Bombyx mori: one gene and its partner. The main gene of each other region encodes a partner of the protein of the gene in region 2 in a complex. Links are inferred from orthologs where the notes say so. Each region holds a gene or a part of one and is shown on either strand. Other genes may lie near its edges.

What was found.
Region 1: vam6/Vps39-like protein (region 2) and vacuolar protein sorting-associated protein 41 homolog share a complex: the UniProt entries of both Homo sapiens proteins name them as parts of the homotypic fusion and vacuole protein sorting (HOPS) complex. The link is inferred for Bombyx mori from reciprocal best matches to the Homo sapiens genes VPS39 and VPS41.

Annotation. Positions count from the first base shown.
Region 1 is NC_085123.1:777,222-781,704, reverse strand, and holds the start of vacuolar protein sorting-associated protein 41 homolog, read right to left. Parts: upstream 2,836-4,483; 5' UTR 2,611-2,835; coding exon 2,178-2,610; intron 811-2,177; coding exon 1-810. Other genes in the region: DNA polymerase nu, read left to right, coding at 4,099-4,252. UniProt on the Homo sapiens protein: Plays a role in vesicle-mediated protein trafficking to lysosomal compartments including the endocytic membrane transport and autophagic pathways. Acts as a component of the HOPS endosomal tethering complex.
Region 2 is NC_085124.1:8,482,000-8,485,835, forward strand, and holds part of vam6/Vps39-like protein, read right to left. Parts: intron 3,159-3,836; coding exon 3,009-3,158; intron 2,446-3,008; coding exon 2,318-2,445; intron 1,404-2,317; coding exon 1,206-1,403; intron 9-1,205; coding exon 1-8. UniProt on the Homo sapiens protein: Regulator of TGF-beta/activin signaling, inhibiting SMAD3- and activating SMAD2-dependent transcription.

The DNA of each region.
Region 1 (4,483 bases), on a different chromosome or scaffold from region 2:
TGGCAGCCTCTTGATAAAGATGTTCAGAGAGCAAGTGATCTAAATACTGTACGCCCACCGTCATCACGGAGTGCTTAGAAGTTTTACCACCGACCTCTTCCAACACGGCAATAGCTTTTTCGAACCTTCTATGTTGGGTCAACCAAGTGACTCTATCGTCAATGTCGTAAGGGCTCGCTATGATAATGTCTTTGGGGGAAACAATAAAAAATCTGTTTTCTTCTATAAGCATATCTAAATGGTAATCATTACAGTTATATTCTTGGTAGCCCCTTATGTCTAAAGTCTCCCAAGATATCTCGCAGAATTCGCAGCCTTTATAATTCGCCACTATTAAAACGGGCATTTGCGACTTTCCGGTTTTAGGATCGCATTCTTTTGGAACGGCTAATAAAACTAATAGATCGTCCAAAGGGCCCAGACCTCCTATAAAATAATCTATTTGGTAGGTATATATTGGATCCACGAGGTATTCTGTGACATCACGAGTCTGTAATTCAATTTGACTTCGCTTTCTAATGACACATATCCTGATGGTATCAACCCAGCCGATCATTAGAGTCTTAGGAGCAGACCAGAGAAGATTGCAGCGGTAGTCTTCAATAGATCTATTTAGGTTCTTTTCCCATTGGATGAGACCTAGAGAGCATTTAGCAACTAGGTCATAAACACGGACCCCAACTTCACTTGCCCATGCTACAAACCTGTCTTGCCAGGACATGGCTTGTACGTTTCCCTTGCATTCATGTAATACTGTAGTTCGTATTCGATTAAGGAATGATTTTTCATATAGTGTCAATCTGTGATCACCTGGAAGAATACACATGTTATAATTTTGGATGAGCAAACAAACTCATAACTCACTTGGTAATTTAGTGTTTACTGGAAACTATGTCACGATGTCACTATCGTCGTACCTCAAGACATGAGTTAATAGTCTTAATGGCATCGTAATATGGAAGTTCCTTCCTTTAACACTGGAAATCACGAATGCATCATAAGCAGAGAAAGGACAAAACGATTAAGGGAAGCATAAGTTACGTACTATGGGTGAGTTTAGGGAAAGGGAAGGGAACATCCACAAAATTTCTGCCCGAGTTTGCCTTTTCATAATTTACAAGCAAAGTTGCGAAAAAATAAAACGATTTGAATTATGATCTGAATGTTGTTTATATTTATATTGTTTAATGAAGTGAAGTTGTACGTTCAAGCCATGTATGATCAGCTCTAGAATCACATGTATGCTTCAAGTTTTATAATCTTTTGAACACATGTCCTCTTCTCGCATTAAAACTGTATAATTTCAAAACTAACTAATTTTATAGGAGAGTGTTTTAAAGGTTTAACATGTAATATTTTTAATATTAATCATCTTTGCAACATTTTTTTTTTTATTATCAGTTACATTATCTGTCTTATAAAGTAAGATAAAATTATGTATTGATTTTATTAATAGTAGTAAAATCATAGGTAAACTAAAAAAAACTAAAACTAAACTACACTCTTTTGACAGTATTTATGAGAAAAATACTGGTGATACCAAATATTTAAGCATATTAACTCAATTTCGAATATTTTTGGAAATTGTACACTTTTAATGCAAAAAGTCAATGTATTCAAGTCAATAAAAATTTACTAGGCAGAGTAGGTGGATTTATACACAAGTTATATGGTTAATGTGTAATGACCTGGCATAAATGTAGTTGTGTTTTTTTATCTAACTATAGTTTCATTTTAAACAGTGATATTGTATACCTACCATATATTTACAGAATATTTTTATAGATTCATTCATTTTCAATAGATTCATTTTGAATAATTTCAGATTTGTCTTTTTTACTGGTGGTGGGACCTCTTGTGAGTCCGCATGGGTAGGTACCACCACCCTGCCTATTTCTGCCGTGAAGCGGTAATGCATTTCAGTTTGAAGGGTGGGGCAGCCACATTCATAATTCATTTACAATTAACATTCATAATTCAGGACATCCTTATCTGGGGCCAGATGTGTGTAATTCGTTCTCAATTATTTAATTATTACTACAGAATAAATTCATTTTAAATTCGACATTTATATATTTTATTGACTATTTATGTACTAGTTTTTTACATAAGACTTGGTTATGAGGTTTAAAGGATTTCCTAAATATTCTATTCATACTAAGTACAACGTTTTTTACCTGTAAGAAATCTTCTTCCTGAACCTGACTTGAAGTAGCAAGGATCCAATGCAACTGATTTCACTGCCCTGCCTAAATTTAGGTTGTGCGTGTTATCATTACTGTACAATCCATATACGACAACTTTACCATCGTCTGAACAACTCGCTATGTAATCCCCATTTTGGTCTACAGATATTTGGTTGACAGCGATAGTATGAGCCTGGAATTCAGTCTTCCCGTCCTGGGATATAGCAACTATGTTACCTTCGTGATCTAGCAGGTGTATCACACCCCAACGTGTTCCGATACAGATGAATTTGGTGTGAACACAAATACAACTGACAGCGTCTTTCAGTAAAATATTCAATAAATCATTTTCCATTCTATCGTATTTTAGCTTCGGCTCCTCATCGGGAGGCAAGCTTTCGCAGCTCTCAATATTAACAGCCATTGTTTTGAATTTCAACCGTTTAAAAAAATCACATTTTAATAATAAAAACGTAATTCTTCTTTCGTTTGTTCTGTTCTGCACTTTTCTGAATTTGATTATTGTCTTTCTGATTTTGACATTTAACTGAATTTGACAAAACAAGTTTTTTTTTTATTGTGGCTTGCACGGTTTGTGAAACGATAGCTTATAGTAGAAGTCCCATTTTCCATCAGGTTTGGCGAAGGTTAAGGCGATTACCATACACTGTAATCTTTTATACATGACATATATTCTGTTATCTAAAAATGTTATGAAAAAAAAAGAATATAGGTGAAATGATGTGAAATTGATTTATTTAATACTGTAATGGATTGGGATGAAATTACAGAAATCGAATTCAGATGGGATGAATTATAGTCGTAGTAAAATGGGAGTTTCTTTACTGAGATTATGTTAGTGGACTTTTTAGTACATGCTTCGTCTTTTTTTTATTTCAGTGTTTTTTTTTTATTTTCCCGCATTTTTGTGCATTTTTACAGATCCTAAACAGCTATTAAACCACCGTTCCGTTCCACCATCGTAATCAAATATTAAATAACAAAATCAAAAGACTTAGACTAGACTTTAATTAATCCTTTTAAGTGGATTAGACCCAGCAGAAAAATCCAATCCAAAGAAGTTCACAATGGTAGCATCATTCAGCTCCATAATTATATGAAGTAGATAATAATATAACATGAGTACATCAATTCATGGAAGAACCGGAAATTACCTCTTACAGCACATATATTGCATGTATTTTCGTAAATGCTAAATGGTTTTTAAGTCGCTATTGTAATTCATTTAACCTTAGAGGAACACTAAATAAACAAATAAAACAATTCACCTAGCATCGCTCATAGCGAGCCTATCAAGATTTAAAAAATCATTTGGTTGTCTAACTTATATATTTATATATGTATTAGAAAAGTATGAAATGTGTATTTACCGCTATCAACAGAATATATAAGATCCGTCAATATTATTTGGTTCGAATCTAATTAGCTTTTTAGCGATACGTAAGGTGCGAGGTTGTGTGAATTGTATTATTTAAAAATGTTTCTGTAAGCATAAACGATAATAATGGTAACTTGCTGGACGTTGTCTCACGTTCTTCCAAAAGGTCCACTGAATTCTCATTGATCAGATAAAATAGTCTTATAACCACTATTTTACTGAGTTTTTATTTCATCTCTTCTCTTTTCGTGTTAATTAATTTCATCCCAATTAATTACAGTTTCAAATAAAGCAAATTTAATTCATTTTTTCATCATTTCATTTTCCATTTATCAGAATATGTATCTATTTTTTAATTGAAGATTTTTATAAACTTAACATTTAAATTTTTTATAGACATTGGCAATAATAGCATCACCAGAATTGTCATAATTTGGCCTAAAGGTAACGAGGCTATACCAGGCCACAAGCTCCAAAAAATTTTTTTTGTCTTAATTAAAAAAAAGCAGTTGAATGAAAAAAAAACATTTGGCGGGAAACCGAAAAGCAGTAAACATGCAGTCTCAATTTAATAGAATTAATAGATTTAATCCTTTTATTTATGAAAAGCATTTGACATCGTTTGGTAAAAAAGTTCTTAAAACACTAATATGTTTATACACAACAGGTATATTTTTTATTATTTATTGTTGAAATAGTTGTTGATATATCCTCTTTTCTGTTTTTTGCAAGCAGCTCTTTTAATGCAATACGACTGAGTCTAGACATACTATTTCAGGGTAAGTTGGTTGTGACATTTACTTTTATGTCCACGGTATTTTCTTTGTCGCCTTCATTTAGCGGTCGTGCTCACAGTCCTCCTAATTATTTTAAATGTATGCCGGAGCACATAGATATC
Region 2 (3,836 bases):
TCTGACACCTGAAAAATGTAATAAAATGGTATGCAGAATGTAACTATGCAAATCGACTATATGAGTCGACTATTATCAAAGCCGGCAATCTGACTTTTGGACAATGATTGGTAAATCAGAAAAACGAATTATTCACTTTGTATTCCATTGGCAGTCACAAAACTCTTCGGAACGACATCTTAGATAAATAACAGGTTAACTATTAACCTTTATTTAATGCAGGTTTTGAACCGTATTCTTTGAAGGAGACGATATATTCAAATCAATCTGTATTGACATATCAATAATTTTTTTTTGTCCAAATGCACAGATTGCCACCTTTGATAATAGACGACTCATATCTTTTTGCTTATTTCGTATCAAAAAGCAGCCATCATCACGTCGAGGCGCGAGCTCGCTTGAACTGAGGTATGAAATTCAATGGCCATTTTCACAGACTACCTCGTAACATAATGCCTACATTCTCTAATTTTATTATTTAGAGACATAATTATTTAACTGTTAATTTACATTTTTTTTCATTTTTGGTTTTATACATATATATTTCTAAATCTTTGATTTTACTTTGATCCGATCGCTAAGATTTCCTAAAAATGTCGTCGAAATCGGTCCAGCTGTTTCGGACCCTATAGGGAACAAACTATTTTTAGATACAACATATCGACTTTTATAGATATGGCCAGTGATTATTAGACAATATGATTATTCTGAGTTGTCATATTTTTTATCTAATTACTTGAGGATAACAACTCTGTCGTACCAATCACTCAATAATTAATGTAAAAAACCTTTTTAGACCATAGAACATTATATAAACAACAAGCATAACATTGAGTTCTCTTTATATTTTTACTTCATATTCAAGATCAACTTCTAATAAAGTACTATTGGCACTAAGGTGTACTTGGGCCAAAAAAAATACAGCCGAAAAGCCAACTGGATATTAAGTAATACCAGCATCGTCCTCATTTAGATTTAGAATAGACACAAACACAAACATGGCAGCTGTTGTAACTATACCTTAGAACTTATATCTCAAGGTGTGTGGCGCATATACGTCGTAGATGTCTATGGGCTCCAGTAACCACTTAACACCAAGTGGGCTGTGAGCTCGTCCACACATCTAAGCAATAAAAAAAAGCTATATTTAACAAATCATTCATTGGTTCGTGCTTTTCACTGTACATTGGATTTCGTTTGCTTACATCATATAGGGTGTACTCTGCTTTAAATCCCACACATAGATACTGCAGACCCCAGGCCATTACTTTTGGTACATCTGGTATATTTAGATCTAGCATGTGTTTAAATTCACCCTTACTCCCGCAGTACACTTGAAGTTTCCTCCTTACTGCAACGCAAAGACGAACATCAGATGACGCTGCACCATTACTTGATGAAACCTGAAAATTGAATAGTAATATTATGAATTCTAATGAGTGTTCTACCAAGCAGTAACAATGGATTGATACTAGAATGCCACATTTCATAATCTTACAATTTTAATGCTAGCGAATGTGCAGCAGTAGTGAAATGGATTATTTTAAATATAACATATGTCAGTTCCATGATGTTATTATAAATTTTTATTAACTTAACCTTTTAAAGTTTTAAAATAAAAGAAATTTAAATACTTTTACCAAACCATGAATAGATTTTTGTAATATAATAGAAAAGGGTTATTGGAAAGTTATAAGAAGAGAAACTGCTCAACAAATATTTACTGTTTTGTCTTGAACATAAAGAAGCTATAAATGAAATATGGATTATGTAACATGAAGATTAGATATAGTAGAATAACCGTTCATTTTTTTTTTTTTATTGCTTAGATGGATGGACAAACTCACAGCCCACCTGATGTTAAGTGGTTACTGGAGCCCATGGACATCTACGACGTAAATGCGCCACCCACCTTGAGATATAAGTTCTAAGATCTCAGTATAGTTGCCATGAGTTCCATCTCATCCCTCTACAGAATTATTATCCCTATGTTATTACATTACTTAATTATTCCCACGATTCCCTCAAATTTGAGGGAATGCCATGGTCATTGCCATGTCCACTTAAAATGATATAATATTATGATTTGAAAAAAATTCAGACTTTCAGATTGTTTCTACAGGTGGACAACAGTATTCATGCTGCAGTGTACATAACAGAAGCCACTTAACACTTGGCAGTTGGTTCATAATCTCTTCTGCTACACTGGTAAAAATCCAGTCTTCAATCTGATATGGCACCATGGGTGAAACAAATCTCTTGATGTCAGTAACAGTAATGAATTAATGCGAAAGCTAGATATTTCAATGAATCTAACCTTACAATCCAAAGCAAAAAGTGAAGCACCCTTTGTCTGTTCAAAAGTTTTTATTAATGGAAAATTAACACCATTAATGTTGTATGTAGCTAGTGTAGAATCTGTCAGACATAATAATAGATTTTCATCTGAAATGCAAAAACATTACTGTATAAGTAACAGCTCCAAAAAAATTATTGCAGTATAGGAGAAAGCAACTATACCACAATAATCAGATACTAAAATGTTCTTATAGAAAAGATTATAGTATGAATCAAATCAATAGAATCTTTGTTCACAGAACCACTATGACACATAATTATATAAATTTATTTATTTTTTTGTTTTCACGAGTGAATGATCACTATCACTTACAGACAAAAAATACGCATTAAAATGGAGTGAATACAATTTGATTACCCAATACCTAACCTGTAAATTTAAAGTTAAGATAGAAGACAGAAAGTATTTGGGAAGGAGAAAGATTATTGATTATTGGGTACTGCTATTGCAATTGAGTTAAGGGATTGCAATCATAATTGCCAGAAAAGACCAGGATTATATACTCATATAGCCAGAGTGTATAAACTATTGCAGGATCCTTTTACATAAGTATGTAAAGCACAACCTGTTCTCTAATACCAAATTTACTTATAACATCATCTAATAAAATTATTTAAACATAATTTGACTAAAACAATAATATAAATACCCAGTATAACTTCAATTTGCTGAATAGGTTTTTTGCTAAAATTCTTCCTGTATCTTAACAAATGTACCTGATACTTTTGCTCTTCATTATTTGTTGATAAAGAGTACATCAATAAATGGCCTTGCCTCGTACCTAATAATAGGTTATTCTCTGTAAAATGACAATATGAATGTTAGCTGATTTTGTGGATAGTAACGGTTACTTCTAACATGATGTGATTTTATACATCTTATCCATAATAAAATACAACAAAAATCACATGTTTCTAAGGAGATTATGGCTTTAATTAAATTAAAACTTTACAACTTTATTATTACTTTAACTTTTTACAATTACTTTATTACTTTAAGGTTGGTAAATTGTGGTATTTTAAAAGATGCCAATAAATATATTCATAATATCAATCCTACCTAGGTATGTAACTTCCTACAAATAATAAACTTGAGTGTATTCCTTTTTGTGTTACCTCTTTAAAAGTGAAGGGTCACAATATTACTACACACTCTGTTACATCACCTGTTGCAGAATTGATTTTAAAATAGTTTTACGGTTCAGTTTCATGATTATTATATCCATTTTATATTCATCGAAGTTTTGAAAATTTTAGTTTTTAAGGTAATAGGACTAATTGTTAGTTGTTGAAATTGGAATGTTACATTTACTAATTTAATACACAAAGGAGTCAGTTTGTTTTATATTGGTTATATGAATATAATTAAAGAAGAATTGTGAATTAAAGAAGACAGAATTTAATTTATGAATATATAAGTAAAACTGCAATATTTTTTAAAATAATATTAATTATAGTAATCGGCAAACTTCTTGAGC